Drosophila melanogaster: one gene and its partners. The protein of the gene in region 3 interacts with the protein of the main gene of each other region in a pairwise test. Each region holds a gene or a part of one and is shown on either strand. Other genes may lie near its edges. The genes, in order: CG6765, CG15812, Sox21b and CG42727.

Region 1 (10,319 bases), 5.6 Mb from region 3:
CTTATTGTGAATGGGCACATCATATGTTGTGCAAAACGTGGATTTCATTTGCCGACAAATTTTCAAACGCGAATTTTGAACCAAGATGGGCAAGGATCGGGGCAGAGGACGTAGGAATAACCATTCCGGGCCATACAACAAGAGCAACTGGCGTGGTCAGAAGAAGGATCGCCCCCAAAACAATGGTGGCGGTCAGCGCAACAGGTACAAATTAAATCCCATAAATAATATCGTTGTTAACCGGCGTTTTTCGTTGGACAAAAGTGCTCCACAACAGAAATCCACGCTGCTGGAGACCCAAGTGGGCATTACGGAGTTCACTAACCCGGAGGCACCTGGCTTCACGGGAATACTTAAGTCTCGCTTCTCTGATTTTCACGTGAACGAGATTGATAGCAATGGAAAGGTTCTGGAACTGAACGATCTCAGTGTGCCTAAAGTGGCTATTGTGGGTCTGTATTCACCAATTATCCTGCATACTTGCTTATGCTCATGCATCTCATACTATAACAGCTGTGGCCGAAAACGAACTGGACAACTGGCGGAAAGAACTGGAGGCAGTAATCGGCCCGGAAGTTTGGCAGGATATAGCCAATCTGGCTAAGGCCAAAAACGATCCCGCGATCGAGCAAAAGGTGGAGATTGATGTGACCACTCTGGATAAGGAGCAGCGAACACAAGTCCACCAGATGATAAAACAGCTTTACAAGGGCAAGCTACTGTCCACAACCATTGGACAGCAGCAGGCTAAGCCGAAGGTCCAGGAGGAGGCATCTTTGGAAAATAAGGATGCGGCTGAAGGTGAAACCTCAACCCAGAAAGACTCACAGGTGCCGGCAGAGGAGAAGAAGACTATAAAAGTATTTAAACCAAAGCCAGGACGCGGTTAGTAGAAATGATTACCCAGGGAATTCCTTTTTTTATGCATCGAATTCCATAGGTGACAAACGCTGGAGCTTTCCGGCGGATTACGTGACCTTCCTGGTGCACAAAACCAATTTGGTTACCAGCGATGTGGCCTCTACTTTAGCAGCGCGACTGAAGTAAGTTTGATCAAATTTTAAATGCTTTAATATACTAAGAAAACATTATTTTTCTACAGCTTACGACCATCGCAGGTGAACTACAGCGGCATCAAGGACAAGCGGGCCAAAACCACCCAGAAGTTCTCCGTCAAGCGTCGTACACCAGAGAGCATTTTGGTTGCAGCTCGCTCCCAACGGAATGTTCATATCGGCAACTTTGGATTCGAATCCAATACACTGAAGCTAGGCGATTTGCAGGGCAATCGTTTTCGTATTGCCTTGCGACACATTGCCAAGGAGAAGCGAGAAGAAATCGAGCAGGCACTGCAATCATTGAAGGAACGCGGCTTCATCAACTACTATGGCTTGCAGCGGTTCGGCAACAGCGCCAGTGTCCCAACCTATGAGGTGGGTGTTGCTCTGCTCAAGCACGATTACAAACTGGCCTGCGAACTGATCCTGAAACCCCGGGACTCGGATGTGGAGTTTTTGCGTCCCATACGCGAGGAGTGGTGGAAAAATCGCGACTCCGCGGCGGCAGCTGCACAGATCTACGGCGAAAAGTTCATCGAAAAGAAGCTGCTGGACGGCTTGGCCAGATTTGGTGAATCAGATTACTCATCAGCTCTGCGGCAGATACCACGCAACATGCTCATGCTATATCCACATGCTTACCAAAGCCTGATCTTCAACAGGATAGCGTCTAGACGAATTAAGGAGTTCGGCTTGAAATTGATACCCGGGGATTTGGTTTATGTGGAGCAGGATCAGTCGGAAGCCTCGGAAGAGCAGGCGCAGCAGGGCGAGGCCTTGGAAGAGCAAAAAGAAGAGGAGCCTAACGATGAACCTCTGGAAGTCCCCGAAGGGGATGAAGCCATCGAAGAGGAGTCGATTTTCAAGCGAAAGGTTCGCCCGCTCACAGCAGAAGACATCGCTAGCGGCAAGTACAAACTTTGCGATGTGGTCCTTCCCCTGCCTGGACACGACATCACCTATCCCAGCAACGAGTGCGGCGCGTGGTACGAGGAAATGCTCGCCGAAGTGGGTCTTTCCTCGGATCAACTGAAGCACAAGGAGAAGACATACGCATTGGCTGGCGCCTACCGCAAGATGATCATATCGTCCAGTGATCTCAAGTGGAGCTTTAGAATGTACAATACGCCGGAGGATACACTTATCGCCTCCGACTGGGAGCTATTGAAGAACATTCCGGTTGCACCAGAACCAGCTGAAGCTGAGGCCAATTACATGGCACTCCTGCTGGAGTTCTCGCTGCCCACGGCTGCCTATGCCACCATGTTTTTGCGAGAACTCTTAAAGCAGGACACATCGTCAGCATCGCAAACGCAGTTGGAGAAACAGGCAATGGCTAAGGAGGACAATGAAAAGAAGGCGGTAGGAACCCAGGAGGAACAAATGGAGGTGGTAAAGGAGGTGGCCGACGAGGATGGGCAGGAAACTGAGCAGGCGGAAACTCAGGGGGCCGAGGAGGCGGTGTAGGCCAAGTGAGATACCGAAAATCAATATGCTCAGGAAATCAATTTTACGCGCGCTTCGTATCCAACTTCGAACCAACCACAACAATAACAATGCGCACGTGAGGACGAGGGCTGCTCCCTCTCTCTCTCTCTCTCACTGTCGCATCCCGTGGCTCGCACCCCGTCAATCTCAATCGCTCTCTCTCTCTCTCTCTCTCTCGCCTGGGAGAGTCCTTTTGGTCCTGTTTCTTTGACTGCGATTTTATTCGTTCGGTGGCCACCAACGCGAAAGCTCAAGCGACGCGCTGCGCAGTTTCCCCAGCTCAAAAGTCCAAGTCGCACGGTTTTCCCCAGCGTTCTCAATGAAGAGCAATAACAAATTATTAATTGACAACAAATAACGAACAAGCACGGTCCCCCAAAAATCCACGGACTCCATCCAATTCATCCAGTGATTTAAAGAGATTTTAAACCAAATAAAAAAACCAAGAGGCGAGACAAGGTGAATTTCCAGTTAAATGTAGCATTTAAACGTTTTGGGCGCGTACTTTGAAAATCCATTTATTAAGGCGTAAGTATACATTCGAGTCTACAAATTGTTTATAACTTTTACGACAACACTGAACTAAACAATCACAGAACTGTACAATATTTGATTTTGGCTCTGGCAGCCTATTGATTTTTGTTGTGTGCTTGTGCTGGAAATCAATCGATAATACGGTGTTAATACCAAGAGCTGAGTCCGGGGATTGGGAATGGGAATGGTCTAGTGGGTAGGTGGCTGGCCGTAGGAGTAGTTGGTTCATATAGTGGCTTAGTGCGTCGGAGGGTTCACCATGTACGTGTGAAGTAAGGGGGACTCAGTCGGTACGAGGGGGTAGTGGTAGTGTGGCATCAGTCGTTAAGGGTGCACGACGCTCCTCGCTCGTTATGTTTTTGTTTCGGCCCACTGCTCCCCCTGCGGCAGTCGTCAAATTAATAAACTAAATGCTTGTTTTGGCGTCGTCGTCGCCCTGTCCCCGTGCTGGAGGCCTTCCCCCGATCCGATCCAGACATGGATATTGGACATGTTATTGCTTGCGCGCGCATTCTTTGACTCTTTGACCAGTTCCCAGCAGCAGCTGCGTCATAGTAGGAGTTTTTTGGCGTGGCTCAATTCGATTTTCCCTCGCCTACTCCACCTGCTCCCCGCCCGCCTGTTCAAAGTTGGCTTTTGCCACACAGATAGCTTCCTACTGCATTACTATACACTCCCGCAAGTCTCTGGCTCTATAAATGACCTCTGGCGACAATTGATGCTTTGTTTGGGGTTTACCAGTTGTCTTGAATTTTAAATTGCTAATCTTAAGCCTCAAATAAAATAAACTATTTAATCACAGGCGTGTTAATGTTTTATCATATCATACAATGCAATAGTTAGTTTGTATAGTAAACTTCATTAGATGCGAAGATTAGGTTAAATGAATGGATTAACAATATTTTTTAGGGAAGCATACATTTGGAAAAAGAAGTTATTTAGTATTCGCTTAAGATAATTGTCCAGATATATAAACTATAACAAAAATGACTTAATTATTAAACAATTATATGATCAGTGATGTTTGCTACTTTTGATATCCTATCACGGCATGTATGTATTTAACTTATCATCATGGCAATCTTCCTTTATAACTATATCATCTTGGCAATCTTCCTAAATAACTATATCATCGATTTGCTCGTCGTTCAGGGCGCGCAGATTGCATTTGCATAGGTAGGCCAGAATGCGTTTCTCCGCCTTAATTCGGTTTGCTTCGCCCAGTCCTTCAAGCAGGGCTTCTATCCTCTTTTCTGCTTGAGCCACTGGCGTTGCATGGGCAGGATTTGTGGGTGGTGCTGGTGCAGCTCCCGCAACGGCCAGCTGCTCATCCATGGCCTCCTGGAGCGGATCCTCATCATCGTTGACCTCGTCGCTGGATTTCAGTGTGCTCCTACTCAGATCACCCGAATTTCGGTGATTAATCGGATGGTGGTGATGCTGCAGGAATTTCAAATGCGGCAGAAGACTCCAATCGGAGCCAGTGCCTCCGGCCTTTTCTTTGGCCAGCTCCCGACGCTGTTTGGCCACCAGATGATTCCAACGACTGACACAGGCACTAGCTAAGTTAAAATATAATGAGGAATTAGGGAATATTTATACAATTTATCAGTTTCTTACCTTCTGAATTTAATGAAGTGGCGATGCTGCTCCAGATTTCCGGATGTCGCTTCTTATGCGCTTCGTAGGGTGCGTTTCTAAGTTCGCGCTCATAAAGCTTGGGATTAGCCCTAACCAGCTCAATAAGTCGCGTGTCGAACTGCGACATTTTGATATTTTCAAAATAAACACAAATGAAAATATGTAAACAAATGGAAGCTAGCGAATAAGTATGACCGTTGCTTCGTGTGAGAAATATGCTGTCACAAGAGCATGGTGGCTAAACCCTCTATTCACCACTCCTTGGGTGGTGTGGTGGGATCGGGAGATTCAAAATAAACACCCCACTGGCGGCATTTATTGATTTATTTATTGATTTTATCGTTGTACAGGAGCTGCCGGCCGCAGAGATGGCCGCCGAAAACTATCACCTTAAGTGGGACTCACACCTCACCTATCTTAACTCTTCCATAGCCACACTTTATAAGTAAGTACCACTGTACCATAGTTGGTACATATTTGAAGTTTTTTGTTTTTTGTAATTGTGATCTAGCAGCGTTTTTAATTGTTTAATGTTAAAAACATTAAATGTATCAGGGTCAGAGGATTAAACACACATTTTCTAAGAACCCTTCTTCAATATTCTCCAAGAGTACTACAAAATACGTAGATATGCTATATTAACGCATCATATTTCCCCTTTAGGAACGAAAAGTTCGCCGATGTGGTTCTGTACAGCTCCTACAACAGCAGCGGCATCCCCTCGGATATACCCACAGTGGGCATCTCGGCCCACAAGTTCATCCTGAGTGCTTCGTCCCAGTTCTTCGCCACCATGTTCGAAACGGCACCGATCACCAATCCCAATGGAGTGCTGTATGTGGTCCTGCCGCCGGATCTTAGCCATCGCGCCATCCAGATCCTGGTTCAGTACATGTACAGCGGCGAGGCCACAGTTTCCAACGACATACTTAACGAGGTCCTGCGCGGCGGTGAGATCCTCAAGATCCGTGGCCTCTGCCGCACCAGCTCTTCCAATGGCGGTGGATCCGGCTCAGTGGTCACGACCACACATCATCCCCATTCACTGGCCGGGCATCTGCATCCGCGAGAGGCTAGCACCATGTACATGTCGAATGGCACTCGAACCGCTTTGCCGCCCCCTCCGCCGCCGCCACAATCAACCATGTCGGCGCAACTTCAGGGAGATCTATATGCCAGCAAGCCGGGTGGATCGACACGTTTCGCTTTGGATCACCACCACCTGTCGTCACACCACAGCCACCTGAATCACCATAATCCCCAGCAGCAGTTTCGTGGACTTGGTGCCTCCGTGATGCCCAAGGACTCGCCTGTGATCATTAAGTCACCCAAATTGGCCGCCCACACAGGACTACTAACCGTCGCGAGCAGCAGCAAGTTGGGCATTTCCGTCAACAAGGAGGTGGCCATCGATCCGGAGGACAAATGCTGTTTCGCGGCACCCGGTCAGTTGGAGTCGCAGTCTCACCCACCACCACCAACCACCACAACGACAACAGTAGGAGGAGGAGGAGGATCAGTTGGAGGTTCAGGTGCCCCGCCATCGCAGCCCATTTCCATTTGCACGGAGGTGGGCTGCAGCAGTTGTCCCCTGACCGCCGGACCAGGTGCTGACCAAGCGGAGACCACGCTGCGGCGGACAGAGTACGAGGAGCAGGCACTTCGTGAGCGGAACGAGGTGGGCCTGGTCTTCGAGCGACGTCTGAGGAGGGAGAGCGCATGCGAAAGATGTGAGTAAGAGTACTCAGCACAGCTGCTAATGATGACTAATCCCATGTTTTATTCCCCTCAGCTCGGGACTACTATGAAGCACCACACTTTGAGCACGTGGTATCCTCTCGCCTGGCAGCCACACCTCCGCCACCACCACAGCAGGCACCACCATCACATCCGCCGACCCTTCGACATCCGCACAACTTCCTCACCATCAAACAGGAGCCGACCGACTGGAGCAACAACCCACCAAACGCCTCCAGTGCGTCCAACAACAACAATCTGGAGGAGTTGCCATTGGCTTCGCCCAAGCAGCCACTCGACTTCAAGATGTCCGCCGTGAAGCTGGAGGTGAATAGGGATCGCGGAACACCCTCCGAGGAGAGCGAGGAGCACACGCTGCGCGACTATAACAACTTCAAGCAGCTGCTGGTCTGCGAGATCTGTCAGAAGTCCTTCGAGGACACCAAAATGCTGGTCCGTCACCTGGGCACACATGCCGGCGATCCCACGGGCGGCACGGAGAGGAATCTCCTGCCATCCAGTGCCAGCGGGAGCACCACATCCGCCTCCAGCAACCTCGCCCTGCGATCTGTTAAAACCTATGTGCCAAAGAAACGACGTCGCGTTTCGGTGAGTACTTGGACAGCAACTCATCCCTTTAATAAATCCAAATCTACTGAAGTATGATTTTAACTCGTAGTGATGATCGGTTACCAATATCTATTGGATGTATTAAAACCAGATTATATATTGTGTTTTTCAGCAACAGGAGAACAATATGGATCACGATCACGTAACTCTGCTCTGCGATTTGTGTTCCACGTAAGTGTTTGGAGTTATAGAAGCAAAATATATACTAACTCCCTTTCCCATGTGCAGATCCTTTGATACGCCGGCGGAGTGGGTGCGCCACATGAACAGCCAGCACACGGAGATCGAGTTGGCCATGTTCAACAGCAAGAAGGATGGCGAGCAGAAGGGGTGTGTGTCCTAAGGGCTAGCAAAAGCACACTGATGAACTCTGTTCACTTGCAGCCAGCAGCCACCGCCACCGCCGGCGACCAGCAGCTCTTCCACAGTGTCCAACAGCCAAATGCAGCCAAAGTATCCCAGCTCCACCGCCACCAGATCGACGCACTCCCTCATGCTGCACAAGATGAGCAACAGCGATGCAGTGGCCACAACCACATCTCCTGGAGCATCCACCTCACCGAATGGCTAAGGCCAGCCATAGGGATCAACTTCAAAGAACCATTGGACCATTGGCGAATGAAGCTGAAGGATTCGAAACCGGATGCCCATGGATAAATTTGAAAACAGCCATATTCTTCATTCATTTTCAAAAATCTCAAGTCGTTCCAATAATCAAAAGTGAGATGGATGTTTATATGCAACAGCAAGAACCGTGATCAAAATGCAACCAGTTTGCATATTTTATAGAGCAACAAACAAAATACAAATTGCGAACAAAAAAAAATTAACGAAACTATAAACGAAACTTAGAATGGAAATCGTCAGGCAACGATGCAAAACAAGACAAAGCAAGAAATTCAGAAACGAAAGCAAAGCAACATTTAACTCCAGTGTGTAGAATTTTTTTAAGTGTACGTATTTACTTAGTTTTAGCTATTTATCCCATGTATTTACCGTAACAACAACGCGCAATTGATTCGGGAAAAAAAACGATACAGTTTAATCATTAAATTTTAATGTTTACCATTTGCGGACATTTTTAAAATGAATTAAAAACTAAAAATTAATCATCCACTTGAGTTTTCAAAAGGATGCATCAAAAGAAATCCCATTTGTAGGACCAAAAGCAGCGAAAGGATCTTTTTACATTTTGATAAACAATTAATTCCAGCAGCAAGTGTAGTTGTCATTATTTATTACTTTCCAATTTGGTTTTTCGAATGCAATTACTGATAACAACTATTTATCGCGACTCAATGATGTCAGCAACTCTGTTGTATATGTATTAATACTTTTTTGTATTTTTTGTAAGGCATGAACGGAAATTTCGAGAACTTTTTTGTACATAGATTAAGTTTGATTTCGAAAGTCCGCCGATCGAAACTTTTTACGAAAAGTTCATAAACTTAAAACTCTAAATGTACGTAGTAGTTCCGAGGTTCAATTAAAAACAAAAATAAAGCTCCCCCCAAACCATGTAAAAACAAAATATATCTATATTTACAAACAGGCGTGATTATTAACAAACTAAGTAGATGTACTATGTATAATGCGGAGGAAATGATTGTCTCTTCCCACAAAACAAATCGCAAATGTAGTAAAGCGTTTTAAATCGAAATAAACGTCTGCGATGAGAAATCGTTTTTAAAAGCTAACGAAAACTAAGAGTCACGTCGCAAAAAGCTCGATTATTCTTATTCGCGTTAAAACACAAACAAAAAACTTTATATAAACAGAGCGCCGTCGAAGAGAAAACTCAGTTCGCATTTCACCGTCGACATTTCAACAGTTAAGCGAATTTGTTCAGTTCTGCAATTAAACAAAATGAGTTCTGGTAAACATTTGGCCAAAGGTAAGAGAGCAAGCAAAACCAGTTGTCGCCGCCGCCAAGAGAAACGCCCATGTCATTAGAGTGTTTATAGTATTATTTATAAAACAAGTTCTCCAACATTCAGCGTAATTATCGAATAACGATTTTTATATTTCATAATGTTAAAGAATATTGGCATGAATAACTGGGATTTTTTGGTTAAAAAGTTAGAAAGGTATATTATTTGGTAAATTTCAATACGATCTTTATTCTTTTACAATTGTAGGTAATGCATTAAATTAATTATTTGATTTGTAAAATTTACTTACATTTTTAGCTATAGCTTTCACCCCGATATCAGATAACCCATAATATTTACACTCTAAAAGATAACGTAGCTACAAAATTTGAGCTTTATCACGACTGGGCCCTATCAACATTAACTTAAGTGCAATGACTTGCTAAACAAATAATAATACAGGGGTGGATTTTAGGGTTCCACAAGTGACTCATGAAGTTATTGATTTATTTGTATAACCTAAATTTAACTGGTAAATAAATTCTATCTTTAGGTTCCCCCAAGCCTGTACTCCCTGACGATGGAGTCCTTCGCCTGTACTCCATGAGGTTCTGTCCCTACGCTCAGCGGGCTCATCTCGTCCTGAACGCCAAGAATGTGCCCTATCACAGTGTCTACATCAATCTCACCGAGAAACCAGAGTGGCTGGTGGAAGTGAGTCCGTTGCTTAAGGTGCCTGCCCTGCAGCTGGTGGCGGAGAAGGGTGAGCCCTCGCTCATCGAGTCGCTGATTATTGCCGAGTATCTGGACGATAAGTACCCGGAGAATCCGTTGCTGCCCAAGGACCCATTGAAGCGGGCACAGGACAAGATTCTGCTGGAACGTTTCAGCAGCATCACCAGTGCCTTCATAAACATCCTTGTGCAGGGCACCGGTCTGGAGGATTACTGGACGGCACTTGATATCTTTGAGGAGGAGTTGACCAAGCGGGGCACCCCATATTTTGGCGGCAACAAGCCGGGATTCGTGGACTACATGATCTGGCCCTGGTTCGAACGCCTCTCTGTAATCGAGTTGAAGTTGCAGAAGGAGTACAACTTCAACGAGAGTCGTTTCCCGAAGATCACCAAGTGGATTGCCCTCCTGAAGGCGGACTCGGTGGTGCAGTCCTTCTATGCCACTCCCGAGCAGCACAACGAGTTCTGGCGCACCCGCAAGGCCGGCAATGCAAACTACGATCTGCTGGCTTAGATCGGTACTGAAAATGAAACTATTATATAACAAAGGAGATTTAATAATGTTCTAAAAACAATAAAAACTAAAATATTTTATGTGACAAAGAAATGAATTAAGGCTAGAA
Region 2 (6,772 bases), about 11 Mb from region 3:
CTGGCTATCAATGTGACTAGTAGTACCATCGATGACCAGTCCAGGTTTACACTAAGAGCCAAGGCACAGACGCCGATGAATCCCAGACACTGAAGGCGGGGACGTTTCCAGCGTATGAATCCTTGGACAGCCACGTGCAGCAAGTAAAAGGGCCAAAAGCTGACGATAAAGTCTCCAAAGTTCTCCAGCTCATCGTTGCTGTCATCCCGACGCCGCTGGGAAAAAGGATACAAACTCCAGCCCTCCGGAAACTGGAACTTTGCCTCCTTGACTATGTGATCCCGCAGCCCATAGATCTTGTACAGGCCCACAACTATATACGCTATATAGACCCCGAAGTAGACGAAAATTTCGCAGCGGGTGAGCAGGGATCGGTCTGGTAACCTTGACATCACTACACCACCGATTTGGACTCTTCATTCCGGGAAAAGATTGCGATAGGGATGTGAAAAACCAGCGAAAATATCGATATTTTTATACCCTTGCTGGAGAAGAGTACCGGCATTTTAATTACATGCATGTACATATTTCTCTCATGTTATAAATTTGACCCATTTAAAAAGAAGTTTTTGTTAATTTTTGGTTGTATTTAATTAACCAATTACGATGGAGTGAACAATAAAAGAGCAGCAGTTAAAATGGTAATGGTATCTACATATAGAACTAAGTCTACAAAACTACCTCTAGAATAGCATCTCTTGCTGCTCTTCCGGACTCAATTTTGGTTTCATCAGGAGATAGGATATGGTTGATGTACATACACTGATGGGACAACATGAAGTTAAACCCTATGCTTATGGCTTCTTAATGGTAACTTATTGATTCCAGCTGAACGTTTGTAAAACCAGAACTCCGAAGGCTTATTTCTAGTTTAGCATATCGTCTCCGTAATTGGCCTTCAATTCCTTCTTGACCTTTTTATTCTGGCTCGTCGTGCGTCGCTGCAGGTGTCTCCAGAGCGTGCTCTTGGGGATCTCGAAGAGGTTGGCCGCGTGGTTTTGGGACATTCCCTCATTCAGGCAGGCATGCACCGCCTTGGCTAATTTGTCGCGCAGCTCATCCTTGGGCGTATTGTCGCGCTTTCGGCAGGACACGAAGTTGGGCAGGCGTCCCTGGGCGGACAGACGAACCTTGTGTCTGTGCAACGTGGACATGGGGATTTGCAACTCACTGCTGATGCTCTTTAAAGAATGTCCATTCTTCAGTCGCTCGTAGGCCTCTTGCAGGGATGGTCGTTCCCGATTGTTTCGCATGTAGGCGGGATTAGTGCGCACGCGTCTCCAGAGGACTGTCTTGGAGATATCAAACCGGTCGGCGGCCTTTTGTAGGCTTAAGCCCTCGATGATAACCGCGTCGGCCGCCAGATCCAAAGCATCGTTGATATCGTCTTTTACCTCACGTTTCAGAGCTGCGAACTGCTGGATTCGCGTTGGCTTGCAATCGGACAATCGTTTGACAGCCTTCGCACTTATGGGGCGACGGATTCGCGTCTTTCCCCCGCCCAACTTGCGGGGCTTATCGTCTATTTCCTCGTCCACAAGTTGGTCGTGCACGTCGTCATCGTCGTCCATTTCAGTACCAGCTTCTAGTTCCATAAGAGGATCGGCTTGCGCGAACTCCTCGTCGATCATTTGTGATTCGTGCTCCTCAGAATCCTCAGCAAGGTCCGCATCCACGTCATCATCGCCCAGGTCCACTTCAGCGCCACTGGTACCCGTTTCATCTGCCTCAATTTTGGACAAACTCGATGCTGACTGCGTTATGGTGAAAGTGCCCGTGTTCTCGGTGAGTATAAATTGGTTGCCGCTGGAACTTCCGTCCATGTGCTCGATGGAGTAGGTGATCTTCGGCGGCTCGTAGACATCAATGTACTCCAATGACCGACTGGAATGGCTGGGCTGGTGTTGAGAACCCGCGAGTGTAGTGGCTGGGACGGAGACCATCGGATGTGGCTCTTCCTCGTCGTCCAGCAGCTCGGCCTCAGCGATTTGGAGTCCTGTAATGGACTTGGCCGACTCCACGGCTAACGAATGGTTCTCTACATCGACACTGGGTGGACTAGCCGATGGATTGCACTCAAAGCTGATGGCAGATTTGATGCCGAGGAGGTTAATGGCCTCCAGGAACTCGGGGAGCGACGCGGAGGGCAGGCTAGTCTCGCCCATGTAAATGAAGGACAGCATGCACTCCAGCAAATCTCCGCGGATGTCGGGCAGCATTATGGTTGCCTCCTGGCCGCGCGGAACGTCCACCAGGAGGTTGCGCATCAGTTCGCTGCAAGTGCTTAGCACGAATAGATGGGCGCGCACTCGAACGCCGTCCCTGGAGGCCAGCACCACCTCGCAGTGCTGATTATCATTACGCAGCGAGCGCTGGATGTCCATTATCGTGGATGAGTGGCCCATCCACTTAAGATGATTCTGCAAACGGCGACGATTGTAGATTTAAATTTCACTTATCCCGGGGATTTGGGAGGACGCGTTTCACTTACCATCTTGTTGTGTTTTGATTTCCAATTGATTTCCAAGAAGTTTTCAATTCTCGCAATTCCAAACGCAACGCGTTGTCACAGTTTTCAGCCAGGGTAGTCGAATGCACCTAAGATCTCGGTATTTCGGTATGTTTTCCATGAGATGTACTTCAAGGAACGTGTTGGTATTTTTAATGAAATAATAAATGAAGTAGTAGGGTACATTTCTTTTTTTTAAAAATCATTTAACCAAATATTCTAGAAAAGTTTTGTGGTTGGTAATGAAGAATAATTGTAAATGTTTTCCATCTGCTGTACTTCAAGGAACGTGTTGGTATTTTTAATTAAATAATAAATCAAGTAGTAGGGTATATTTATTTTTTATATAAATCATTTAAGCAAATATTCCAAAAAAATGTTGAGGTTTTTAATGAAGAATAATTCGGTGTTAACGTACACGAAATACAATAATGTATGTGCGGTATTTGTGTTGTACCGAAATTGTCAAAATACCGAAGTAGGGCTGTCGAGTAGATTAATTTGGCGCACTGACAACCCTAGGCTCCAACAACTATATTGACATTTTAGCATTACATAAATTGTCAAAAACGGAGCAAATTGTTGAATTTATATTGAACAGTTTGTAGAATGGCGGCCTTAATCAGGAATCTGGGTGCCCGTGCCGCAGTCGCCGCTCTGTCGGCCAAACATGGTTGGTAAATGCCTTGCCTCTAGAGCTTCAACTGATCTATTCTAACCCTTCAACAATCAGTGGTGCCCGCTGCTGGATCCACTGCTCTTCGGATGGCCAGTACAACGCCAGTGGAGCCTAAGAAGGCGGATAAGCGTAGGTAAAAGTCGACTTTATCGCGGTGTCAATTACATGTAAGACATTCCACCCACAGCCACTGTCCGCCAGCCGGACGCAGTCGCTCGCTCGCATCTCTCCGATTTCGGGCGCTATGTGGCCGAGTGCCTGCCCAAGTACGTGCAGAAGGTGCAGCTGACCGCCGGCGATGAGCTGGAGGTGCTTATTGCGCCAGAGGGCGTGGTGCCCGTGCTGCAGTTCCTTAAGGATCATCATCAGGCGCAGTTTACCAACCTGGTTGACATTGCCGGCGTGGATGTGCCCTGTCGCAAGAACCGATTCGAGGTGGTCTACAATTTGCTCTCGCTGCGCTACAATTCGCGCATCCGCGTTAAGACCTACACCGATGAGCTGACTCCTCTGGACTCCGCCTGCGAGGTGCATAAGGCGGCCAACTGGTACGAACGTGAGATCTGGGACATGTACGGCGTGTTCTTTGCCAACCATCCCGACTTGCGCCGCATCCTGACCGATTACGGTTTTGAGGGACATCCCCAGCGCCGCGACTTCCCGCTGTCCGGCTACGTAGAGCTGCGCTACGATGATGAGAAGAAGCGAGTCGTCTGCGAGCCCTTGGAGTTGGCCCAGGAGTTCAGGAAGTTTGACTTGTCGGCGCCTTGGGAACAGTTCCCCAACTTCCGCAACGCTAATCCCCCCGCCGAGGTAGTTCCGCCACAGGCTCCAGCCAAGAAGTAATCCGAAGTCGGTTTGTTAAATGGTAATTAGATCAATAAAACGTGATCACTATGAGATGTTTAAACATAATGGAAACGACGGTCTACTTAGCTATTTAGCTTTCTTGGCTCGTTCCTAAACTACTTCCACATGAAAACGCAATTCGTATCAAACCAGAGGGTCACAAGTATTTATTGATTTCCGTATTGTTTACATACATGGTAGTTTACACTGAGAATTAAACGAATTCGCCGGATCTAGCACATCCGAAAACCTCCTCGAGGGCCATGTGCATATACGTACATACATACATAGATATAAAACGTTAAGTAAAACAAGTGTGGGCCACTAGACAATTCGTGCGCCTGCGCAGCGGTGCCCGGCGAAAGTACAGGTGCAAGGACGTACTTAAGTTTAGGCCGGAGCGGATTGGGGTAGTGGTAGTGATAGTTGTACTTGGTGAAAACCTTATCGTAATTCGAGCTTCGAGCTGCACCGTCGTCAACGTTTTATTTTTGTTAGATTTTAGTTCGGTTTTTTTTTTGTACAAGAACATACACATATAGTACATAGATACACACACATAAACATATTATTACATTTAGCGATTTAAAAAAGTTTTCACCCCGCATTCCGACGGTGTTCCAAAAGATTTTCGTTACTTTACAATGGCAGCGTGCATCTGGGCACGGCTCAAAAAACAATTCTCTGGCGCCACCTGGCGCCCTCTCTCGCAGTCCATGTGCCCGGACTCCGGGCCGGATGCACAGTGGGACTGGGACAACAAATGAAAATTTGGGTGCAGTTCGTGAGCGCGCGTTTTTCGCGCTTCCTGCTGACAAAAAAACAAATTCGACAGACGGCCATGTGTGGACCATGTTCCAGAATGAAGGACGAGCAATGCGTGGCTTCTAGTCTGATGGAGGTCAACCTTTCGGCGGCCGTCCTGTCACAAATACAAATATGCGGGCTTGGTCACGGCAGCTCCAGATTATATCGATTCCGTCTTGGTATAATGACGAGCTGCACCCGCTCCACTGCTGCTACTGCCGGCAGAGGAGACGTACGGCGATGCCTTGCCACTGCTGCTGCTCCCCGATCCCGTCGTGCTGCTGCTCAGCTGATTATCGCCCGCTGCCGCTCCACTGGATGCAGCGGCCGCCTCGTTGTTCAGCCGCTCGTGATACTCCTGGAAACAGGGCACAATGCACAAATTCGTCTGGCACTCCGGGCAATGGTATTTCGTTTTGCGGCGCAAAATGCGTCCATGCCCGTCGATGGTGTTCCAACAGAAGTTGCAGCCCAGCGCCGGACCCGGTCGAATGACCGGACAATGACTAGAACGCGGATTCTCGAGAGTGATGATCTCCCGTTGGGTCTGCAACAAAGGTAAGTCAGTGTGAGTGATCTTTCGGTCGGGTACACATCCAACTCACCTGAGGTGAAGACACCGATCGCTGCAGTTCCTCGTTCTTGACACGCAGCGTGGGCAAATGCTCAAACGAACTGCTCATGGTGGCCTGGCCGGGATGCAGATGGGTGCCAGTGATGGAGCCCGAGGCAGACTTGGAAGTCCGCAGCCTCGAACCGCCTCCGTTGGCGGCCTCTGCTGGATTCTTCCCCGCCCGCTCCACGACTTGCGATCTGCTGATGGAGGGAGAGTGCGGAGACCTTCGCTCGTGTGCCACATCAGATCCAATGGAGAAAGTGGGCGACAACGGATGCCTACTGGCGCTGTTCTGTAGCCCCGCATTGGGTGAGGTAACCACAGACACGGCCGCCGACACTGTCGACGAGGAGCCGGGACTGGCATTAGTGGGCGTTGCCGCCGTTTCACTAGAAACCACTGGACAGGCCACTACGCGCGTGGGCACCAGGTATTGCGAGGAGCCGGCCGGCGGCGGAGACCCCGAGGCGTAGATGGACTCGGGCAGTGAGATGTGGTGCGGATGGTGAAGCGGCGCCGGAGTGACATAGCTGGCATTTGAACCCGACAACGGATGCGAGTATTGGCGGTGCAGCGGGGCAAACGGATTGCTGCCAGTTGCCATCGCGGAACTGGATCCAGAACCGGATCCGGCCATGTGCAGTGCGGACTGGCGAGGCAGCAACGGATCCGAGTGCTGCTTGATGAGATAGGGAGTGCTGGACGGCACGCTGAGCAGGTGCGGCGTGGAGGGGGCCAAACTGGGTGCCGGTTCAGAGGCATGGCGCTCGATCCGCGGTGGAACGGTTAGCAGGTGATGATGGTGGTGCACAGCTGACTGATGGTGCAGATGATGCGAGCCCGTCGTAGAGTAATCTCTGGCCGTGGCACTCGTGGCGCCCGCAGCATTGAATGGATCAAAGTCGAGCGTCGTGGCAGCCGTATCCGGGGATATCTGATTCGTGGACGAGATGCTGTCACTGTCCCGCTTCACCCTCGGCTGACGGGTGAGCACCCGGTTGCGCTTGGTGCCCATCACCGCTGGCGAACTGGGCGTACCATCTGGATCACATTCGACGGATCCGACGCCTCCGATGCTGAAGGAGCGCTCGAAGCTTCCGCTGCCACCGCTGCTGCTGCTCGCAGCCCCCAGCGGAGGATGTGGCGGATGAGGAGCATGCGCCGGACTGGGTTCTGTAAGAAAATAGTGTCAAAGGATTAGTTTTTGAACCGGCCTAAAAAGCGTGGATACGGTTGCCCAAGATTCATTATGAAATATGAATATTGCGAATATGTTGGGTCCATCATTTCCAAATCATTTCAATTGAAACTA
Region 3 (7,251 bases):
AAACCATATGAGTTCCTGTTTATCTGCTATCTGGCCTATCAATCGGTGTGTCATAACTGCATTTGGTTTTGTCAGTTTTCGTACGGTCTTTTTTTCTCCTTTGGTTTATCAATTTGCTGCAAATCTGGGCATTGTTTGCGATGTGAATCTGGAAGGTTTCGCAAGGATTAAACGCACTCAGGCTCGACGATGGCAATCTCATTTGTTTGCGACAATTGTTTGGCCATCGATGGATCGATGCTGATTTCGATGCTTCGATCGTTTTTGAACCAAATCTGTTTGCCTTGTGGCCTATGAAATTGTATCCGATGTTTATCTATAAGGGCAGAGCAAAATCCGCACGGTGAAATATATTGCGGAAGGGGAAAGGGCTTCTTTTAGAAGTCCCAAGCGGTTGCCAAACACAACCGAAAATTTGAATGATTTTCCTCGTGCTTTTTGCTTTTTGATTAACATTAATGAGCGACAAAAAGTGCAAAAATTTACATGGCAACGGCGGCATCTCTGCCCCCATTGTTGTCCTGGTCTTTAGAAAATTTTCAATTCACCGCGACAGGAGCTTGTCAGGAGTGTGTGGAAGCCTCATCCACCTCGTCAACCTATCCATCCCCAACAATAACGATTTAGGCATTAGAGCTCCATTGAAATCTTTTTCGTTGCGATTGTTGAGCTTCATTCTGCAGGCTTAGGGCCTTGAAGACGGGCTCAACAAGATGGCAAATCCCCCATCTGGCTGTTCTCATCACAATATTCTCTATCTAAGTTGCAGTCGGTGCATTGTCAGCGCTTTTTGTCTAACTACTCATTAACATTTATTTGCAAGTGCAGAGAATGCTATGGCAAATGCAAAAGCAACTGCCATGATAAATATGACAAACAGACAATGGCCAGATAGACAAACAGAAAACAGAAACTGACAATGGAAAAATGCACTGCGAAAAAAGGGGGTAAGGTGATGAAAGGGATAGAGAATGGTCGACATGGTAGTAGAAAAACAGAAATTTGTATTCGCCCCAACGGAGTGTTCACTGTTCAGGTTATTATACCTTTAGATATATTGTAGCTTAACATGAATATTATAACGAATTTTTTAGATTTTTACGAAGGGAACTTTAAAAAAAGGTGTATTTTATCATACTTTAACGAAAAACTAATTATCCATTTAACTTGAATATCTGACAAACCCCATTCAATAGCTAGCACAGCCATTTTAGGCATTCAGGTGAGTGCAGTGTATAATTACAATGGCTGACTAACTGAGGAAGCGAGACAGACAGAGCGAAAGAGAAGGGGACATAGCCAAAGACAATGGACACAACCAGTACATAGAGTGCGACAGGGAGCGGTAGAAGACGAGAGAGCGAGAGGGGAAAACCAGGTCCAAATAAATGGAACAGTTGCAGTCCATCCATCTATCCATCCAGCAAGCCCTTCGTCACTCACTCAGTTCGTCAAGTTGGGGCTGGAAAAATGTGCGCCATTGTTTCCAACTTGCAATTGTTTGCTGACAATTGGCAAAAAGGCAGCAAGTACTCCTCTTTTCTCAGACTTTTCCACTATCTCCCATGTAGGAAAGGCTTAGGTCATTAGAGTCAAATTAAATTAGAGTGCTAGTAGGTAGTTTCATCTTATAGCAGGTACACACTGTTTGCATTTGTCATTAGTTCGTTGTTAATTAAAACGAAGCCAAAGTGCCAGACGACAGAACTCGACACGACAGAGTGAATGGAAATCAAAATGCGCTAAAAACCGCCCTGAAACAATGGCAACACCTGCGTAATGCCCTGGCCCACCCAAAACCCTTTACACAAAAAGTCCTGGAACAAAGCCCGACCAAATGCGAATGGAGTTGGGACTCCGGAGTTACGAGCCGTTGTCCTGGCAACGCCACCACCACCAAAGCAAATTAACAAAACAATAATGTAGACACGAAAAATTGCAAAGCAATAGTAGGCACTTTGCAGGACTATATACTCCTAAAGTCCAGGTGTCATCATGCACAGATATAAAAAAATTAATTTTGGAAATGGTATTTCATGTGGGTCAAAACACTCAATCGTTAATTGTCATTCCAGTACAGAACGTGTTTTTTAGATCAAAATGTAGTACTATGTGCGAATCTACAACAGACACTACTTTAATCTTTGTCTGAGCCAAAGATAAAGTGTCCCAAAGTGGTCTGTCTGGACCAATTTTGGACTATGGCCACCTTGGTTAACATATCCACCATTTTGAGCTTGGGAATTGGCCAAAGGCGAATCGTAGTTGCGGGCCAGATGTCAGGCTCAGATCTCCACGGTTCAGCTCGATTCAAAAATAAATGTCCATTAAGATTAGTTGATTTTGCTTTCGATAGTTTGTTTTTCACCTTTTTTTTATTTTTTGGACGCTCTTTGCTGGTCTCTAAGCAAATGCGGTAAATAATCGAGAAACTCCCGAAAAGCTCACTCCCAATGGTGGCACCTCTTACCAGTAAAGAGACCGTCGTAGACCCCCACTTTACCCCCATTTTCCACTTGGCATTTCATGTAACACGAAACCTTCCCCAACCAGAAGCATTCCAATTGGAAACGCCCATCATGAGACTCGTTGTTTAGAGTGAAATGGCTATGGTGGCTTAGTAGCTACTCCGTTTATCTCGCTCGCACTCCCACGCAACACCTGCTCTGGTTGACCGCCCTGCCTCTGCATTCTGCATCCCTTTCTGTCTGACATTTTTTATCTCTGTTGCTCTCGTCTTTTTTTTCCTGACGTCGCAGTTCTTGGATTTTTTTTTATTCTTTCCTTCACGAAATGTCACCTGGTCGTTGGGCCTCTCTCTCACCAATACAACGATATTTTTGCTCTCAATTTTGAATTTGTTGTGGATGTAGTTTCTTTATAAACAGGCTTATAAAAAACATTTAACAAACCAATAAGAAAGAAAGCTCTCGGAAAAAGTATTAATCCAGAGCGAGAGAGAACACAAGCTTTTGCAGAGAGGATTTGCTGAGTATGTGTGTGTGTGCTTCTGTGGAGCGATACTGTTACATAGCAGCTGTCTCACCGCCCCACCTGCCACGCCCCCCGCCCCATTCGGTGACTGAAAGACTCGTTTTTTGGCTCGTGTGTTTTTGAAGAGAGCGCGCGCCAAGTTTTTAGTTACGCGTCGGAACGGATCCGTTGAATAGCCGCCAAAGCGCGCTTAGATGCAGCAACAGCCAACTTGGCCAAGAAGAGCCGATCAGCCAACAGCTAGCGACGGTTTTAGCCCCCTCACAAGAAACGCCAAGAAACAACCGATATTCGCAAAAAAAAAATACAAAGGATAATACTAAAAACATAAACAAACTGTTCTCGGTAAATATCCCAAAGTAAAAGTGAATCCTAAACAAACCAAACTTTTCTTTCCCATTTAACTAAATAATAAAACACAAACCAATTCAAAAAACAGTGCTCATATGATATCAACTTTCAACGCTCGTAAAGTGCTCATAGAAATGAAACAAAATACAAATCCAAATAAAGCAAAGCGATTTAAAAGTCTCATAAAGTTTTGAAATCCTAAGCTACTTATTTATCTTGCAAACTTCAAATCAAACAAGCTCCATTCTTTGTAGCATCAAAACATTGGATGCACCATAAGTATCTTATCGATGAATGGAAAGCAAACAACACACGTCAACATAAACTAGTGATATCCATTGGAAAAGTGTTCGTCAAACAGATTCTGTTACGAAACAGCTCAAGACCATAAAAGTCAACAAATTCAACATTTTATGGCAGTTCGGAAAGTGGAATTCATAAGCGACAAAAACAAACCATAAACACATATTATCCAAATAATTCGGTAGTATATTCCGCATATATGCTGCCATCGAATATTTGATTCCAATCGCCGGAAAACGGGAAATTTAAAGGAAATGCAGAACTCTTCGAGGTAACTTCATTGAAGCCAAAACATTATGGATTCTTTAGTTAGTTGTTTAACTTAGCTGCTTTGATTTTAATTAGCAAAACTACATATAAACACATTTACTTACATTTTTTTAGTAAAAGTAAAATATGATCTATGATAAAGTCTGATCCCATAGAACTGAGCATAAGTCTTAAAATTGTTTTCCAAGTTAATTGAAATTACTTCAAGTCAGAAAGCAGGTAAAAAATCAATTAAAAATCCCTTTAACCCTTTACAAATTTCATTTAATTCACCGCCGTTCAGAACGCAATTTGAACAACTTTTCTTGACCATCAATTAGGTAAACACGGAGAGAGCTCCACATAATGAGTCTGAGTGCGTCAGATACAAGGGGAATCAACAGATTTTATTGTTTGGATAATTTCAGGATTTTCCTCTTTTCATTTTCTGCGAAATCATTGTCGGAATCTTTATGCCCCACTCGAGGTGTGTTTACTTTTGCTTTCGATCTTCCACTTGAATTAAAGCAAGCTCGTTTTCTTTCTCTGAGGGGCATTCAAAGTTGTTTGGTTAACTTAATTTCGAAATATAAATGAAAACCGACTCAAGGTATGTGAAAAGCCGCAATGAAAAGAGAGTCAAAAGCACCAGAGAATTTGAAATGACGCAATTAGAGCAAATAATAGTAAAAGAAATAGGGAAAAACAACGTATGTTTATTAATATATTTACACAAAATGTGACAACAATTGAATTTAATGTGACGCGCCCCCATCATATAGAAATCGACTTTGGACCAGCACACAAAAAACCCAATTGTGCAAACAGAGTTTTCTGAAATTATTTTGCGCACCAGATGTCAATCGAATATTTTTACGCCATTCTTTTGGCCATTGTGTTCGCTTTATAAATTTGCTCAAAAAAACAGGCATAATCCAAAGAAGAGTATGAAAAAATTCTAATTAATACCCGGCTGTATCAGCACACATATGGTTAGCTGACTTTGTATCGGTTCTTTTTCTTTTCGATAGCCCTTTGGATAGCCCTTGGCACAAACTTGACACTAAACCTTGGAGGAGCAGGGTATGTGGTTATCGAGACACTGGCACGTTTACGAGGCGATTGTTGCGAGTGTGAAAGTTCTTAATTACAAACATTAGGGGGCCCAGCGACTTAGGGCCCTGAGAAGATCCGATCGCAGCGGGCGGGCAAGACGACACTTTTGAATGGAGGGTCTGCTGGGACCGAAAACCCGGTGCGTATCCGCGATACATTTCAACACAAAGTGGAGACACTTAAAGCTCTACCTGTGTTGAAGACGAGGTGGAAGACTGCAGACCGCGAGACTCCTCTTCGCCGCTAAAGAATGAGCAGAAGAATATGGCTGGGGGAGAGATCTCGGGCTCAGCATGTGGCTAAGCCGATCATAATTCTTGTTTGACATACCAACAAACGGATGAACAAATGAACGCGAAGCAGCAACAACACGGCCAACTTGGTCGGGGGTTACGAGTGGATCTATATGGCCCCCGAAACTCAAGTGGCCAGCGGGTTAATTTTACTCCTACTGCGATACGATACGAAGTCCGAAACAGAAGAACGGCTTCAGCACTCGATTTCCATGAGAAAGAGTCGGACATAAGGTGCCTCTGGTGGGTTATCTATTAAGGCTACTAGATTAACACCCTGAGAAGACCCACGCTTTTGGGTTTAACGGTTACATTTCCGTTACAAATAAATATCGGAGCTGCATTTCGGTCTGCGTGGAGGTGCAGCGAATCAAAAGGAGGAGCTGGCATATTCACAGCAAATAAAAATATCTGGAGTGCAATTTGTGCACAGCTGGTGGTGCAACCGTCGATTCGGATGGTGGCCCTGTGGTGCAACTGATACTGCAACTGCGACACTGCACCACATCGGAACAAGTGTTATGTCCACATAGTCATTTTCGGTTTTATTGCCATTTCAATTACTAGAATAATCACAAAATTAAATTAGTTCGAAAATAAAAATCCAAACATAAATGCAACTTCATATCAATTGATATATGCGTAGTGTTTTCAAAATATGAAATTTAGCGTATACCTTGAGTGGAGGCACAAATAAACATAATCAATTCATTTTTCTCAGTGTATTCTGCCAATTCGCAACATAAAAAGGAGGAGCAAAAATATGGAGAGCAACTTGACAACACAGAAATTTGTTTGCACTCCATAAGGATTACAAATATGCGTGTCCCTTTGCTAACCGCTCCCCGTTCCCAGCTCCCCCTTTTCTTTTAATATAAATTTCATGCTTAATACGCATGCTTGGGCAATTTTTACTTTAACACCAAGTGGTAATGCCCGGAAGCAGTACAGATGTCGCCTCGCATAGCCCAACGCAAGTTATTGACCACGATGCGTTGCATGGCCAGAAATGCCAATGAACAGGGCCAAAAAGAGAGACTGCGGAATATGGCAGCAGAGAAAAAACAGTCGAATTGGACAGATAAAGATAAATAGTTTCGAACCACAGTTGGCCACTTCATAAACCCAAGGATATTCCAAAATTATTGAGTACACGTAACGATCCAGAAATAGTTTTATGTTTTAGATTTATGAGTCTCAACAACTTTTTAGTAGCTTTTTATCTACTATAGGCTGTAAATCCTAAAAAATTATATTTTCTAAATAATTTAATAAGTCTTTAGCTTTAATAAAAGCAAGCAACTAATAGTTTATCTTGTACAAGCCCTATTATACATATACATTTTGCAATACGTACAATATGGGATCGCACTTACCTCCTTAAGTAAACAAAGAATGCTAAATGTATGCTACTTAAATAATTTCTTGGTGATTATTTTAAGAAGCTTAGCTATTTATAAAACAGATGATTTAAACATAAAGATCAAGAAATGTGTCAACGGCATTGTTTCTTTTGAAAATATTACCACGTTTTAGTGATACAAAATATTTGAATTATCCCAACTGAAAACAACAACCACTTTATTTATCTTTTAATAAGAACGCTTAAGTGTCCTCCCTAATTAAAATGATTAGCAATGATCATGATTATTCAGATGTAATACTGATAAACTTTAACTAGAAAGTGAATTAACCTGATAAGTTTTTACATGAATTTTAAAGGAATCCAATTCAATTCATACTGCAAGCAGTCCACTTTAATTAGCTGACTAGCCACTCAGATATAATTATATTATGAATTATTCCCGTTTGCGTTCGCCAACAACTCGCAGTCGTTTCCCTCCCCTACGCCTTGTGACCCCTCAATGCTCATTGGGGCATTGTTAATCAATTAACTAATTGATTTCAGCTCTTAAAAGTATGTCGTCTGAGGCCCATTCTTCGG
Region 4 (6,802 bases), on a different chromosome or scaffold from region 3:
TTCTTTTTCAACACTTTCACTTGCGGAGACAGCTCTCTCGCACACACACACAGACACATACGCATCAGCACACAGGTAGAAAATAAGCAGCGAGAGAGAGAGTTTTCCCTGCGGCAGACGCAACAACTGTCAATTGCGGTACTGGAGTACAAGGCAAACCCATCATCTGGGTTGCACCCAGATTCTTATTGGAAGCAAATGCCCAGCACGTTGCCCCCATGTCAGCGGATCGTGATTATATGCAGCCAAGACCCTCGAACTTTGCCGCGTTTGGGTGACGTTGGCAGTTTTCCCAGTTTGCAGCTGCCAGGGCTTCCCCGCAAACGCCATTTGGGGCGCATCGGGAAGACGCTTCCTGCGGTGGATATGGAGTCCTGGTGGACTTCTTTTTGGCAGTGGAACCTAATATATCTTACCTGTTCCGCCACATCCTCCGTTTTCGCTATGTACTCGTTGGGTATGCTCATGTTGGCTGCTTTGGGCTGATCCGATCTCTCACTTTGGGGCAATCGTCTGTGGAGACACTTTGGCAATTCGTTTCTGACTTCTTGGGCGTCGCGTCGCTCTCCAAATTGTTGTTAAGTTACCAAAAAATCATGAATTAAAAGGCAGGAACTTAAAAACACACACGCACGACAAAGTATAGCCGTGATGGGGCCTATCGTTATCGCTGCGTTATCGATAGCCAATGGGCAACACATGGCCAATCGAATTGATAATTCGCTGTGAATGGGAAAGCAGCAATCAAAAAACAAGCGTGCCTGTGCTCATTTTATTTGACAAGTTGAACGCTATTTATTTTCCCTGTAAAGATGTCCGTTCAACAATCCAAGCCAAAGCAGAAGAAAGTCAAAGTTAAAAAACAGGATGATGCCGGCTATGGATCCGGGGAATTTTCCTTGGACTGGGATGTAGACAGCTACAAGACGGAATACGAAAGTGATGAGCACTGGGATCTGCGACGCAGCTTCATGCTGGCCCACAAGGATCGTTTTGAGGAGGACCGGCTGGTGTGCCTGGCCCAAACGTTCGTCAACATGGAGTTCATGGGCTGCAAGTATCCAAGCGCGACGATGCTTTTGGTGGCCGAGTTGTCCAAGGAAATCGCAGCGGATTTCCGTCAGAAACGGGAACAGCGCCTGAAGAGAACATTTGTCTCGGCGTCGGATGCGGCGGAGCAGCGCGCCAAAGGTAGACGACTGAACAATTAGTGGGCCCATAGGCGAGAGAAGATTCTTTTTATCACTAGTAACTATACGAGCCAGAGAGACCAAAGCCTAATGCCTAATTCCAACTACTAGGGCGCCGGGCTCCACCCCTTCCCTCGACGAGCTCCCCAGAGGATAGCTCACACATAAAACGCCAGTGTTTTGGCGGCGGAGATCCAGTCGATCTCTATCAAGATCTGCGTTTCGGTCGGCTCATTGTGTACTTGGCTGGGGGACGAGCCTGCCTGCAAAACTCCTGCAACATTGCGAATGTCAAGTACGAAGAGCGTGTCAGCCGAGATCAGCCATTAAGCGATAATACAAAATACGCCGAATTATTAGTAAATGATGAGGTAATAGCGACAGGACAGGGGGAGAGCCTTAAGGCGGCCAAGAAAGCTGCCTATAAGCAGGCGCATTTGACGATCCAGTCCTATTGCTATAGTATTAAGGTATGAAATTTCTGAAATAATGTATGCCTTATTAAACCCGGTACTACGCTACACAGCTGAATGCCACGCGCGACACCATCAAGGTGGAAAAAAACAAGGACGGCGTCAACATCAAAGTCACCAATGAGTCCGCCGACAGTCCGTGCGATCCCAAATTGGACCCCAGCAACAAGGGATATCGCATGATGCGACTGATGGGCTGGACAGGCGGTGGCTTAGGGCGACTGAAGCAGGGACGTGAAGAGCCCGTATGGTAAGAGTTCGACTTTTAACGTATCACCAAACGAAACTATTTTATTTTATATTTTCAGTTATCTGCTAAAGAACAATCGTAATGGTCTTGGATTAATAAATCCAAAGGGAAATTTCGCTGATTACCGACGGCTTATAGAAAACTATGTGAGATCGGACGATATACGTGACATGCAGTTTGAGCCCACGTTTTCGAAGGAAGAAAGAACCACGCTTCACCAGTAAGCACCGTCATCCCACATCGTAAAAAATAATTGCTTATTATGTTGGCATTTCCCTTTACAGAATCGCCAGACAATTTGGCTTGCGTTCCGCTAGCTATGGGAGTGGAGAGAGCCGGCGCCTTTTGATTACCAAGAAGATCGACTATGGCACAATACTGACTGAGGTCCTGCTTCGGCGGAACCCCAAGTTTTGTGATCGTTACTTTGTGCACGTACCCATGCAGAAGGCGCACCTGTTTCCTGGTCATGTGGCCGACCTGGAGATGAACGATGTATGTGAATAGGCAGGACGAACAAAATCTCAGCTCATAGTACTCTTATAAAAAGATCTTTATTCTTAGTTTTAATATAAAGGATGTAAAATATATGAAAAGTATTTCTGACCGTGTACTTTGTTTACGTTTCGTGCTGAATGGCTGCGAGAAAGAAGAAGCATAGCTGCAATTTTAGTCTCCTGTATGTGCGATTTCAATGCATTTAGAATTTAGCAATGAATAAATGTCCTCGCTGCAACTGCGATGCTACAGGACAGAATCGCCTCGTCACCGACAGCTGTGGACACACCAAGTGTCGTCTCTGCCTGGTGGCGGATGTATCGGATTGCCTGGAATGTCGAGTTGCACGAAGTGTCGATATCCAGGAGACACAGGAAACGCAAGCAAGGACGTCGGCTGATAAGCGAATAATTGTCACAGATAAGGGCTACCACTGTACCGTCTGCAATAAGGATTTTCGCAGCCGGACCCAGCAGTATTACCACCTCACCTGCGGCAACGATCTTCTCAAGAAGTTCAACTGCAAGGAGTGCGGACGCGTGAGTTGCAGCATGTACTTATGCTGTGTGTAGTTTTCATGACTGAGATTTCCTTCCAGAGATTTGCTACCAGTTCACATTTAAAGTACCATCTAATGAGCCATGAGAAACAATCAAAACACTCGTGCAGCGTCTGCCACAAAAGTTTCAAGCAACCAATTGTTCTACAGCGCCACATGCTTACCCACAACCAGGAGAAGCATTTGTGCCCAATCTGCCAGAAGGTTTTCCGCCGCAAGAGCTCTCTTGCCAGCCACCTGGCGATCCACAGCGATCTCGGCCTGCAATTTAAATGCGAGCTCTGCTCTAAGCATTTCCAGAACAAGGCCAATTTGAACCAGCATCTGCGGAAACACGACAAGAACAATATTCGGCACATGTGTAAAGTGTGCCAGAAGTCCTTTCTGCGACAAACCACGCTTCGGCTGCACATGAAGCGCCACTCAAATCGCGAACGTCAGTCCTGTTCCCTGTGCGGCAAAAGCTACAATGATCCGGATGCTCTGGGCCGACATTTAAGACAACACAAGACTGCCGAACGCTACCGCTGTATCCAATGTGACATCACTATCAACCGAAAGGACAACATGCTGCGACATCTGCGATCCATGCACCCTGGTTGTGCGTTTGCCAGTACTGTTGAAATGGTTACACCGAGGTCCAGTGCTCAGGAGGCCACGACGGCGGAAGAAAGACCATCTCAGACTGTAAGATACAACAGTGTGATCCAGAGTGTGGGCAACGTTGAGCCAGTGATGTTGCTGCAATCTACGCCACTGCCATCTCAACTCCCTGAACTGCAGATGGAGAAAGGGAAAGCTGTCCCAGAGCATCTGCCTCTGCCAGATGTAATGCCAGAGGAGAATGTCCAGCTGTATCGCAAGATCATCTTGGATCTGGACAACGAGGAATACTCTAGCGAACCTAGCCCCGATGCCCAAGAACCAGCCATGCAACATCACCAGCCGCGTGTCCCGGGGCAAGGTAGCTCCAAATTTAGCGAGATGCACTGGCGCAAGAATTTCAAATATTGGTACCAAAAAGAAGAAAACACAAAGTGACGATATGATCTCTAATGAGTTGGCCCTTTTTCAAAGGGGTCCTCTAATTTATTAGAGATCAGTCAGGTGCTGCGAACCGAAGCGAACCGCAGCAATCTTGTTGGCCGCTAGCCATATTTCCGCGTGCCGGCGTCACTGCCAAGTTCACCGGCCATCGGAAGCAGCAAGACCGCTTAATTTGCAACTAACAGTATTCAATATGATGGACGAGCAATCGGAACTCGAGACACTGCGTGAAATTTATTACCTAACTGATGATGCGTCGTGCAACTGGCGCAAGTTGCTTGTCCTGGGCGACTGCCTGGACCAACAGCTCAAGCGCAAGCTGCTCTGGATGTGGCCGACATCGGTGGACTTGGACTACTTTAATCAGCTGCTAGCCATGCACGACATCCAGCGAGTTTTGAGCATCGGCTGCGGCAGTGGGCTTTTGGAATGGCTTATGACAGTGTCTGGAGGTCGGAAAGTCCCCATGTTTGGCTTGGAGGTCGATCGCAACTGGTGGCAGAGCAAGTACTCCGTTCGAAGTTTTATACCGCTTAACTATTTAGAGGATGCCAGCCAACTGGATACGGATTTATTGACCAAATGCTGCAGTGACGTTCATCCGTGTGCCTTGCTCTTCTGCTACTTCAACAATCGAGGAGCTTTTCTGGACTATCTAAATGTGTATCAAGGAAAGTGGCTTATATTGATTGGACCATTGCCCGCCCTGGGAATCCACACAGATCCCAATCCCGCCCAGCCCCAACTGCCCATCGACCAGTGGATCCTGCGAGAACGCCTTAACTGGACTGACCACAACATTGTGGCATTCTACGAAAAGATAGCCTAGTCTAGTCTGTAGTATCTCTATAATTGTAGTAATAAACCATTGCCTTACATCCTAATTAGTTCCTGTTCACTTCTATGTGAAACTTGCAGGCGGGTATGCTTTGCACTTCGGCCGTCACGGTGCTGTTAATGCCTAGATTGCTGAGAGCTCCTCGCACCAGCCCGCACGTGAAGGCCACGAACTTGGGCGCGTGCTCCAGCTGCTTGGTGCCCGGCGAGATGCGAGTCAGAAAGCGGAAAGCCTTGTCCTGCACAACGTACATTCCGTGGTTGTTCGTCCTCAGGTTGTCCACTTGCTTCTTGTATATAAGCATCCAGAAGTCGGTGCATATAAACTTCATAGTCTCCAACTCGTCCTTAAAACGCGAAACTTCACGGGTGAGCCGCTCAATCAGGCGGTAGCCGGTGGTGAAGCCTATATACTCCAAAGTGGCCAGGTCGTGCTCCTAATAGGCGGAACCAAATCAAAATCGGTTGTATGACTGATTTTTTTTTGCGTCCCTCGTGTTCCTACCTTATTGCTATCCAGACAATAATTGACTATCTCTGCATGGAGGCAATCGAAAAGGATTTCTTCAGACATTTTCGAGGATTTAATTTTTCTTTGTGAGTTCAACAAATTTTTCCTCGGATTTGTTTTGATCTAGATTTAAACAGCTGTTGCAAGCGTTAACGGGCGAATGTCTTGTTTGCTTTTAGTGGTTTATTGTTATTACTATTATTTATACTTTAATATCAAGAGTATGTATAATTATTTTAATATGAATACTCTAAAATGAGCAGATTTGATAGATCTATTTAGCGTAATTTCAAATCATTTTATAACCATATATTTTTCGATGCATATATTTAGCTAAGCTGCACACATTTCTATCGCTGATCTGGCATCACTATTCAGTGAGGGGGTGTTTGGACAAAAACACAACAAAAAATGTATACAAAACAATTCCGATTAAAATTCGCAGAATAAGTGAATTAAACTTGAACAATTGACAATTAGTAAATAATCCAGTATGCTAGACCTCGTTCACAAAGCCACGCTGCATAGCATGGTCTGTCAGGCAATCCTAGTGTTAATCTGTTTGCTATGCTACGGATGCGGTGGCCTCAGTGGAGCGAAGTTTGTCTTCGATGATACGGTGGCCATCGTCAAGAACCGGGATGTCAACTCACTGCCCACCAACTGGACGGCGATCTTCACGCACGACTTCTGGGGTGCTTCCTTGCTCAGTTCCGATTCCCACAAATCATTTCGGCCACTGACCACCCTGATGTTCCATTGCGAGTATGCCCTTCTGGGGCTAAGTGCCGCCCACATGAAGTTCCTAAACCTCCTGCTACACTGCGTCAACACGCTGCTCATGTGGCGATTGATTCGCTCTCTCTATGTTCCGGAGGTCAGCACGGCAAGATGGGCCATCCTCTCCGCTGCTCTATTTGCCGCCCATCCAATTCACACAGAGGCGGTTTCTGGTGTGGTTGGAAGGGCCGAGCTCATGTTCGGCATGATTCACTTGTTGTGTCTTCTGCTGACCGTGGCCAATACCGGAAGACTTGGTCCACAGACTGGCGGTCTAATCATGCTGCTCACCGCTGTGGGAATGCTGTTCAAGGAGTCCGCTGTGACCATCCCCATGTCGTGTGTACTATTGGATTACTTTCAAAACGGCTACTATCATCTGCGATTCAAGGATCAGTGGAGTCTTTTGCGCACCCGGATCAGCTACTTGTTCTACTTGCTGGGTACCTTGGGTCTGCTGACGGCTCGCCTTTGGTGGCAGGACTTTGAGACGCCTACCTTCAAGGAAGTTGACAACCCCGTTGCGCACAATGAGCACGTGCTGACCCGTGGGCTCTCCCAGCAGTATCTGCTGGTCATGAACATCTGGCTGATGCTGTGCCCCCACTGGCTATGCTACGACTGGGCATTGGGTTGCGTCAAGTTGGTGACCAACAT

Evidence for each region.
Region 1: the proteins of Sox21b (region 3) and CG6765 interact in a two-hybrid assay, tested with the Drosophila melanogaster proteins (one large-scale study listed by BioGRID).
Region 2: the proteins of Sox21b (region 3) and CG15812 interact in a two-hybrid assay, tested with the Drosophila melanogaster proteins (one large-scale study listed by BioGRID).
Region 4: the proteins of Sox21b (region 3) and CG42727 interact in a two-hybrid assay, tested with the Drosophila melanogaster proteins (one large-scale study listed by BioGRID).

What each region holds. Positions count from the first base shown.
Region 1 is NT_037436.4:8,510,000-8,520,318, forward strand, and holds CG6765 (uncharacterized protein), read left to right. Parts: upstream 1-2,767; 5' UTR 2,768-3,074; intron 3,075-3,874; exon of another isoform or gene 3,875-4,196; coding exon of another isoform or gene 4,197-4,642; intron 4,643-4,700; coding exon of another isoform or gene 4,701-4,848; exon of another isoform or gene 4,849-4,922; intron 4,923-5,071; 5' UTR 5,072-5,089; coding exon 5,090-5,166; intron 5,167-5,384; coding exon 5,385-6,451; intron 6,452-6,513; coding exon 6,514-7,067; intron 7,068-7,200; coding exon 7,201-7,259; intron 7,260-7,316; coding exon 7,317-7,418; coding exon of another isoform or gene 7,419-7,431; exon of another isoform or gene 7,432-7,472; coding exon 7,473-7,659; 3' UTR 7,660-8,739; downstream 8,740-10,319. Other genes in the region: Pus7 (pseudouridine synthase 7), read left to right, coding at 86-204, 265-452, 514-885, 941-1,043, 1,103-2,525; CG6683 (uncharacterized protein), read right to left, coding at 4,197-4,642, 4,701-4,848; GstO3 (glutathione S transferase O3), read left to right, coding at 8,955-8,982, 9,513-10,210.
Region 2 is NT_037436.4:3,155,819-3,162,590, reverse strand, and holds CG15812 (uncharacterized protein), read right to left. Parts: upstream 2,601-6,772; 5' UTR 2,495-2,600; coding exon 2,492-2,494; intron 2,485-2,491; exon of another isoform or gene 2,421-2,484; coding exon 867-2,420; 3' UTR 572-866; downstream 1-571. Other genes in the region: rasp, read right to left, coding at 1-392; ND-30 (NADH dehydrogenase (ubiquinone) 30 kDa subunit), read left to right, coding at 3,119-3,182, 3,243-3,317, 3,376-4,034; BtbVII (BTB-protein-VII), read right to left, coding at 5,005-5,391, 5,450-6,633.
Region 3 is NT_037436.4:14,127,226-14,134,476, reverse strand, and holds the start of Sox21b (Sox21b), read left to right. Parts: upstream 1-3,152; 5' UTR 3,153-3,339; exon of another isoform or gene 3,340-3,919; intron 3,920-7,251.
Region 4 is NT_033777.3:15,345,493-15,352,294, forward strand, and holds CG42727 (uncharacterized protein), read left to right. Parts: upstream 1-2,555; 5' UTR 2,556-2,626; coding exon of another isoform or gene 2,627-2,950; intron 2,951-3,009; coding exon of another isoform or gene 3,010-4,011; 5' UTR 4,012-4,210; coding exon 4,211-4,846; 3' UTR 4,847-4,899; downstream 4,900-6,802. Other genes in the region: Surf4 (surfeit 4), read right to left, coding at 417-467; CG31301 (uncharacterized protein), read left to right, coding at 813-1,191, 1,302-1,660, 1,717-1,913, 1,972-2,133, 2,198-2,420; CG42726 (uncharacterized protein), read left to right, coding at 2,627-2,950, 3,010-4,011; Trs33 (TRAPP subunit 33), read right to left, coding at 4,902-5,291, 5,360-5,428; Tmtc4 (transmembrane O-mannosyltransferase targeting cadherins 4), read left to right, coding at 5,859-6,802.